Macaca fascicularis: one gene and its partner. The protein of the gene in region 1 purifies or fractionates together with the protein of each later gene. This does not show direct contact. Links are inferred from orthologs where the notes say so. Each region holds a gene or a part of one and is shown on either strand. Other genes may lie near its edges. The genes, in order: PAK1 and GIT2.

Region 1 (4,378 bases):
GCTATGGAAGAAAAACGGGACAGCGGGAGCTGGCAGGGTGCTTGTTTTTATCAAGAGCAGATCTTTTAACCCTGTGGTTCTCAAACTTTAGCAAGCATCAGAATCATTTAAAGGGCTTATTAAAGAAATTCACAGGCTACCGAAAAAAGGCACAAACTCAAGTAATTACAATAGAGTGCTATAGAAGACCATAAGAGTGGTATGTGTATGAGCCAGAGGATGGAAGAGCAACTCATTCTACGCAGGAAAAGGAGAGACTAAGGGACTGCATCGCAAAGGCCCAACAAGGACACCTCCACAGGCAGGTAAAGGGTGGAAGGGAAGCATCCAGGAAGAAAACAGAACATGCAAAAGCGAAGATGAGAGTGGCAGGGGAGCCACAGAAAGTGAGGCTGCAAAGGCAGGCAGTGGTCTGATGCCTGAGAGTTTCTTATTCCATGTTAGTCTGAAATTTATCTTCAGAATATGAAGAGTCAGGGGTAGGGGGCATTGATGTGGTAAGGTTTTGTTTCACGGAAATCTTTCTGGATGCACAGTACCTTCCTTTGAGGCACTGCTTCCTTCAAACCTAGCACTGGGACTCAAAACATGCGCTTAGTAAATGTATATTGAATTGAACTGAACAAGCTTTTTACCAAATGCCCTCTTATGGATGAGGCAGGTCACCTTCCCTGCAGGACTCACTTTGGCCAAGAGAAGACTTGTAAAACAGGTCCAGCAGCCTCAATTATTGCACACTACTACCTGTACAACTGGAGTCCCCCAGAGATTAGGGCAGACCTTCATTGTTTACTTGTCTACCTCACCCATTAGACTTTGAGCTCTTTGAAGACCGGGAATATCTTAATAGACTGAATCCCCATAGCCTTAGCAAGAGGCCTGAAACATAGTAGCTCTCCAAACTCCAGTAATGTTGGATAAATGAATTGACTGAATTAGCAAATTCACCAAGGCAGACACATGAGTTCATGTAGTTAAGCGTATGGATAAACTTCAGGGAAAGTATGGGAAGTTTTCAGCGTCAATGTTCCCAAAACCCTTTTTGAAAGGCATAGTTGCTAGTTGGGGGGGGGGTGGGGGTTCTACCCACGTGATTTAGAATTTTCCAAATAGGAACCAAAATGTTATAAGTGCTGTGGTAGAAATCTCACCGGGCCAATGGGAAAAAGTCAGTTCTGTCTGAGAGGAGGGACAGGATGGAGGCCAGCAAAGATTTCACAGTGTGGGAATTCTTCAGTGGACTCTTGAAAGCTGAGTTGGTGCTTGCTACCTGCCCGTTTTGGGGCATAAAACCAAACTTCTGGAGCTTTTAAGGCTGGAAGTGACCTGCTCAAGGTCACACAAGAAGTAGATGAAGCCACAAGGTAAGAGATGAGGTATCTGTACTGATAATTCCTACTTTCTCCTGACAGAGTTGAAAGAGAACCCACAAATGTAGGAGGCAAAATTAAAGATTTTTCTCAAGAACAATTCTTAAAGTCAAGACTAACGAATTGAATTTTTATTAGTAACCACAGAACTAACCCTTCCCTTCACTGTTCAGTTTTTGTAAGAGTAGAACAATTATCCAAGGGGTTTAAAAACCAAGGACGTTGCTCACAACCCACTACTTCTCAAGTATTCTTCCAAAACATTCCCAGTAATGTGTATTGTTGAAATAGGATAGCGAAGACTACAACAATCATGTCTTTTCAAATGGATTAATGAACATAAAATAACTATAAATCTCCTTTCCCGGTTGTTTTTCACTTCCCAAGTTACAGAATATTCCGCGGTGGGGGAGGGGCTGCGTAAGTCAAGTCCTACCAGCCCTTATTTTTCAGGGAGTAAAACCCTAAAGGTGACTGTCCAAGCCTAGAAGGGATCATTTATTCCATGCAGAAGGAACTGGGGCGCCGCTTTGCTGTGCCTCCTCGTAGTGGGACAGGGTGAGCTCTGCAGGACTGCAAAGTTCGGAAGGGACTCGGTCCCGGACCGGTACCCGTGGGGGCTCCCGGCCCCAGCCTGGCCTGGCCCCGCCCCGCCCCTTCCCTCTCCCGGGTCTCTCGATCGCCCGGCGTCTGAGACCCGCGACCCCGCCGGTGAGCGCACGGGGGGCCTTTGTTGGCCCGACGGGAGCGGGCCTCGCTGGGCGACGCCCGCCTCACCTTACCTGGCGCCTCCGCCGGCCCAAGCGCCCGGCCCCGCCACGCGAGATAAATGGGCCCAGACCCCTACTCCACCCGTCCCCACCCCCGCGCCCCAACCCTGGCAGCCCGGGACGCGAGGGGTACCGGGCGGGAGGCCCGCTCTCACCTTCCGCGCTCGCTCAGCTCCTCTCGGCTCCTCCTCCTCCTCCCGATGGTGGGTGCCGCCGAGCCGGGAGTGAGGGCGCGAGTGTGTGCGAGCTACCGCTTCACTTTCTCCCTCCTGCCGCCGCCGCGCCGCCAGTGCCGGGGATCCCCTCAGGACAGGGGAACTGCGAGGGAAGGGATGATGGGGGGGCGGCAGGGAGCGAGACGACGCGGGGCGGGGGCAACGGTGGGGGGCTGAGGGGCGAGGTGCGAAGAGCTCGGATGGCCTCTGAGGCAGGAGATGGGAACTGGATGCGGAGACCAGGTTCTTCGAGGGGGCTCACGAGAGCGCGGGGCTCCGTGAAAAAGGGAATAAGAGTCCGAGGGGGAAAGCGTCTATGGAGGAGGACGGCGGAGCCTGCGAGGGAGGCGCAATAGGCGAACGAGGGGGCGGGAGCGTGTGGGGGAAGCCGTGAGGGGGCGTCTACTGTGCAGCCGCCACCTTCGGCTCCGGCTGCAGCCGCGGCAGGGCCGCCTCCCCCGCCTACAACTGCGCTATTGTACGCCGCTAGGCGGGCCTGACCGCCTAGTTCACTGGCTCCCCTCCTCCTCCTTCTTCCCCCTTACCCCCGCCCTTTCCCCCTTCCCTCCCCCCCGGCCTTTCCCCCTCCCCCGCGCGGCGGTGGCTCCGGCGGAGCCGTGCCCGCCCCGCCTCCCGCAGGTGGGAGGGGGCGGGGAGCGCCTGACCGACCCGTAGGAGCGAGGCCAAACCCTGGCCTGCAGAAGGGCGAACGCCTGGGATTGCGTCATCGGCGCGTGACGCCAGAGGCTGGGGAATCACCCGGCTGCTGCGTGACGTCATCGCGTCGCGTCACTCTTCTCGGTCCGCTGTCCTTGGCCGGCAGTTTCCGTGCAGCATTTCTACCAGACAATTTTGGGACTATTTCTGGGAGGGCTAATGGTGTAGCCAGGATGGAGAAAGACGGCTAACTTCCGTGGCTGAGGATCCTCTTCAGGTTAACGAAGCACCACCGCATCTATAAACTCGTTGTCAAGGGCTGAAGTTGAAAACTATCCGACGTTGTGTGATCGCAGAGCCAGACGTGTATTATGTTTTCTTTGTGTGGGAGGTGGGAGAGGGGACGGGGATGGGAGGAAGACAAAGAAATTATAACGGAGAAGTTTGAACTACTGTGAACTGATATAGGATTGTGAATTGATATAAACAAGAGTTAAGTTCCTGTGGCATATTTCTGGTCACAAGACATCACCAAACTTCTAAAGACCAAAACACCTCTAATATCAAACATTGACATCAATGTGACTTATACATACATTTAAGAAAGATTAATAAAAAGAGGCCAGACCAGGTGCCTTGGCTCATGCCTGTAATCCCAGCACTTTGGGAGGCCAAAGTGGGCAGATCGCTTGAGCCTAGGAGTTTGAGACCAGCCAAGGTAACATGACAAAACCCCATCTCTACAGAAAAATAAAACCCAAATACAAAACATTAGCCAGGCATGGCAGCACACACCTAAGGTGGGAGAATCACTTAGGAAAAGAATGGGCTTCCTTTCACGTTTTTTCTCTTACCGTGGAGGATACTTTCGATCCAAAGCTTTCTCCTGAGCTCAGATTGTGTATTTCCCAATACCTTCCGAGCAGCATTACCTGCATACTCGTCGTACCTCAGATTCAATATGTGCGAAACTGAGACAGCATTAGAAAGGCTGAGAGTCCGGGATCAGATTGCCTTGCTTGAAATCCTAGCTGTTCAAATATTAGTGATAGGACCTTAACATTTCTAAGCCGTCATTTCTCTGTAATAATAAGTAGTACCTTAACTAGGTCTTCCTAAGCCTCAGTTTTACCATAGTAATAGTAACAAGCCCTTTAGAATGTTGGCTCCCCCCCAAAAAAATTCTTATTTTGAAATTTCCCCCCCAAAATTGCTTATGTTCCTTTCCGTTCTCAATGAATGAGCCACCATTCAGCAATCCCCTAAGCCAGGAACCTAGACGTACTAATAGATCCTCATTCTTCCTCTCTCAACATCCATATCAAGTTGGACACCAAGTCTTGTAGCTTCTCCTAAATATTTTTCA
Region 2 (4,554 bases), on another chromosome or scaffold:
TACTTCTTTGAGTGTTTTCACCATGGCTCAAATGAGAATAATAACATATCTCAGGATAGTGAGGATATAGAGAATCAGTGAGGTACCTCACACATAGTAAAGTAGTAATGTTAGCTGTTATATCTTTTCTAAATTATTTTCTCAGTAATTCAGATATTTTCTAGATGTGAAATTCACGATCACTGGAAAAAGTTTTTGATGGGAAATATTTAAAACATTGAACATTTCATGTGACCACTATACTACTGTATTGAAAATCTCCATGGAGTTGTCAAGTAATTGAACTCAGAGTGTGATGTATTTGAAACGAACCAGATTCATTAAAAAAACAAACAAACACACAAAAAAATAGAATATTTAAGAAGTGATCATGGTTAAATGTTTGCATAAAATAGAATCAAAATAATTCAATTTATTATAACTGTCACTATTACTATATCATCCTAAAAAGCAGAGATTGGAAATGTCCAGATGAAGGAGCTCTACAAAGATGCATAACAACACTGCTTCCTGCGGTATTGTACTGTCACTAATGGCCAAAAAAAAAAAGACTGTTTTGAAGTATACCTTTGGTTTTCACTTACCATTCAGAGGATTTGCACTATTCTTTTTTTAGCAAGTATTTAACACATATTAATTAAGACAAGTATTCGACTAACCACTTTAGCATCCTGGATCAGAATCCCATGGAAAGAATATTAGAATGATAACGTGGTAAAATAAAAATAAGTTTGTATGAATGAGATTGGGTAAAACCCTTTAAGTTCATCTGGAGGCTTTATGCCTGGGCTCCAGGGACACCACAAATGAACTTCAAAAATGTCCGTGACTCCCCTAGACAAATCTTAGGTAAATTCGTTCACGTGCATTTTAGGGGAGAAGGCCTTAGCATTCCTCAGAATCTCAAAGGGGTCCCTAACCCTACAGGTAATTCTCTCAGTAGGGTTTTGCAGAAAAGGCAGCACAAATTCCAGGCTGCTCAATTTCACAGAATATTTCAAGGTAGCCTACTTATATTCAAAACAGGAAGGAAGTGACTCAAGTCTCTGCAGATCAGGCGTATGAGACAACAACTAAAGCGATACAATGGAAGAGAAAATGTTCTGAAATGCACAAAATGCTGCAAAAGTATATTTAGGATGGCAATGGAGGAACAATTTTGCTTTGCCCCGTACCCCATCAAGAAGCAAAACAATATGCATTCCAAGAGGAAGTTAGAAGCTGGACACATATGAATCAAACACATCACAGAAAGTTCGACTGAAAACAGGCAAGAAAATAAGGAAGTGGAACAAATAACATTTTTAGAGAAAACGATGGAGTTTGAGTTTGTATAACTCACACTAACTTGGTTTAGAAAACGCTTCTTTTTAAACTCCTCCACACCCCCTCCCTATCTTCAAAGGAAACTGGTAACACCTGCACTGTACCAGCCATTAAAACCACCACATGAGGTTTGAGTTATCACAGTTCTATTTACAATCAGTCTTCACTTCCAAATGACAAGCTGAAGATTAGAACAGTTGCAAAGCCAGTGGTGTTCAATGATTTGATTAAGATTGTTTATCGGACACTATTGTGCCAAGAAAGCCATGTTACCTTCGAATTAACTCAAAGCCAATACATCCAAGCACCTAAAACAGCATGTAATAATCTATCCAGAGACCTGACAATTCAGTTGCAATTGCTGAGATCCGCTTGATCTCTAAATGTGAATATTATGTATGAACAGTTATGCATCATTATGAAGGAATGGTTTAGCGTTTCAATGCCCCTATATTGCTGGTGATTTTGCGTTTGTTTCAGTTGTAATCAACGTATGATTTAGATAGTCAATTCTAGCTTTAAGGGACTGCAAGTGTTCTATTGTAGACAGCATAACGCAAAAAAGAAAAGCCTTAGATGATATGATCCTACGAGTATTCATTGAATCCTCCTCACCACTGAGCGTGATACTCCCGATTATCCTCATCGAAAAAAATGAGGAAATCAAGCCAAGTGACCAAGTGAAGTCACCAGCCCAAGGTCACCCAGAAGCAAAATCTAGTTTGAACCCAGGCCATTCAGATCCTCAAACTTGAGACACGCACTGCCTCCTAAGTGCTGGTTGTGTCTGGAAGACCCCGATCTACTGGCAATTCTCCCCGACAGAGTAGCTGTCGGATGTCAGGAGCGGGGAAGTCATCTACGGGGACCCTCTGGCGAGACTCAGGGAGTGTCATCCTCCCCGGGCAGGGCACCCAGGCGGAGAGAGGGTCTAGTGGGAGGTGACACCTGCAGCCTCTGGAGGCTGCAGCCGGGAGGACGCTCGCATTTTACTTCTGTAATTGGCTTTCCTGTGTATTGCCCAAGCCCCTTCCTGTTGGGGGAGCAGCCCTGGCCCCCGTCACCTCCCCAGCTGGCCTGGGACGGAGGGAACGGGAGGGAACTAGAGGGAACGAGAGGAAAGGGAGGGCCGCGAGGTACTGGGAGGGCGGCGGCCCCCTGCCCGCCAGGCTCTGACAGGCCCGGGACACGTCCTGCCCCAAGGCCGCCCCGGGACCTCTTCGTTGAGACCCTAGTAGTGGGCTGCGGACGCTTGACCGCAGGATGCCGCCTGACCTGAGTGGGCGGCCCCGGGGTAGGGGTCCGGGCCAGGAAAGCAGAGGGGAGCGGGCCCGGCCGGTGCGACTCACCCGGCCCGCTGCAGTCAGCGCACACCTCGCTGCTCCGGAGCCGTTTCGACATGGCTCCCGCCTCCCACCTGCCGGGAACTAGAAGCCCGGGGACAGCAAAGGCGGCGGCGGCGGCGCTTCCGCTCTAACGGGTCCCAGCGGCGGCGGCGCTGACGGCGGCGCCTCTCCCCTCAGTGCCTTGCAGCCTTGGCATAGCACGCAAGCGCGGGGAGGCGCCCTTCTGCGAGTGTCAGGTCATGTGACCGGAAAGGGCACGCTGCCTTGTCGCCATCTTGAGTGAGGGCAGGAGACTGCTGGAGCATCATCTGTCCTACCTTTAAATATTGAATTTGGATCTCCCTCTCTGGCAGAGATTCCCCTCGTCCCAACTGATTAATACCAGGGGAAGCAGCAATATCTTGTGATGAGAACCCTGCAGCCACAACCTTCCTGAGGCAATCAATGGTCAAGTTCATTGATTCATTCCTTTATTCAACAAATATTTATCGGCCGGGCGCGGTGGCTCAAGCCTGTAATCCCAGCACTTTGGGAGGCCGAGACGGGCGGATCACGAGGTCAGGAGATCGAGACCATCCTGGCTAACACAGTGAAACCCCGTCTCTACTAAAAAATACAAAAAACTAGCCGAGCGAGGTCGCGGGCGCCTGTAGTCCCAGCTACTCAGGAGGCTGAGGCAGGAGAATGGCCTAAATCCGGGAGGCGGAGCTTGCAGTGAGCCGAGATCCGGCCACTGCACTCCAGCCTGGGCGACAGAGCGAGACTCCGCCTCAAAAAAAAAAACAAAAAAAACCACAAATATTTATCGAGTACTTACCATGTTTTATACAATGTCCCAGCCACTGGAGAAACAGCAGTGAGCAAAGACTGAATTCCTAGTCCTTATGAAGCTTGCATTTTACTGAGGTAGATAAAGTAAAATAAGAGTATATTATATGATTCCAGGCTGGGCGCGGTGGCTCACTCTTGTAATCTCAACACTTTGGAAGGCTGAGGCAGGCGGATCACTTGAGGCAGGAGTTGGAGACCAGCCTAGGCAACATAGTGAAACCCCATCTCTACTAAAAATACAAAAATTGGCCGGGCACGGTGACTCAAACGCCTGTAATCCCAGCACTTTCTGAGGCCGAGGCGGGTGGATCACGAGGTCAGAAGTTCAAGACCAGCCTGGCCGAGATGGTGAAACCCCGTCTCTACTAAAAATACAAAAATTAGCCAGGCACAGTGGCAGGTGCCTGTAATCCCAGCTACTTGGGAGGCGGCGGAGGCAGGAGCTTGAACCTAGGGGGTGGAGGTTGCAGTGAGCCGAGATGATGCCATTGCACTCCATTCTGTCTCAAAAAAAAAAAAAAAAAAAAAAAAAAAAAAAAAAAAGATTGGCCGGGCGTGGTGGCGCATGCCTGTAATCTCAGATACTCAGGAGGCTGAGGCGTGAGAATCGCTTGAGCCTGGGAGGTGGAGGTTGCAGTGAGCAGAGATCACATCACCGCACTCCAGCCTGGACGACAGAGTGAGACTGTCTCAAAAACAACTCAACAACGACAACAAAAATAACAAAAAATAATATATTAGATGATTCCTTATTTAGGCTTCAGTTTTAATCTCATCTTCAAAATTAAGATAATGCATTGTTTACTTCTAGTCCATGATTTGTTTTTGTATGGCTTGCTACTTAAGAATGATTTTTACATTTTTAAAAGGTTGCCAGATGAAAATGAAGGAGAAGAGAGAGAGGGAAAGAAAGAAAAAGAGGAAGAAGAATATGCAACAAAACTTGTATGTGACCAGCAAAGTTAAACATTCATTTTTGCTAAGGACAGATGGAATAAATTATGGGAAAAATGTGATATACCTGCTGGATAGTAACCCCTCAGTAAATAGT

The links.
Region 2: the proteins of PAK1 (region 1) and GIT2 purify together in Homo sapiens (affinity purification with mass spectrometry; 5 studies listed by BioGRID and IntAct, with this or other methods). This does not show direct contact. The link is inferred for Macaca fascicularis from reciprocal best matches to the Homo sapiens genes PAK1 and GIT2.

The regions. Positions count from the first base shown.
Region 1 is NC_088388.1:76,357,615-76,361,992, forward strand, and holds the start of PAK1 (serine/threonine-protein kinase PAK 1), read right to left. Parts: upstream 3,082-4,378; 5' UTR 2,296-3,081; intron 1,365-2,295; exon of another isoform or gene 1,158-1,364; intron 1-1,157. UniProt on the Homo sapiens protein: Protein kinase involved in intracellular signaling pathways downstream of integrins and receptor-type kinases that plays an important role in cytoskeleton dynamics, in cell adhesion, migration, proliferation, apoptosis, mitosis, and in vesicle-mediated transport processes.
Region 2 is NC_088385.1:116,867,141-116,871,694, forward strand, and holds the start of GIT2 (ARF GTPase-activating protein GIT2), read right to left. Parts: upstream 2,869-4,554; 5' UTR 2,728-2,868; coding exon 2,676-2,727; intron 1-2,675. UniProt on the Homo sapiens protein: GTPase-activating protein for ADP ribosylation factor family members, including ARF1.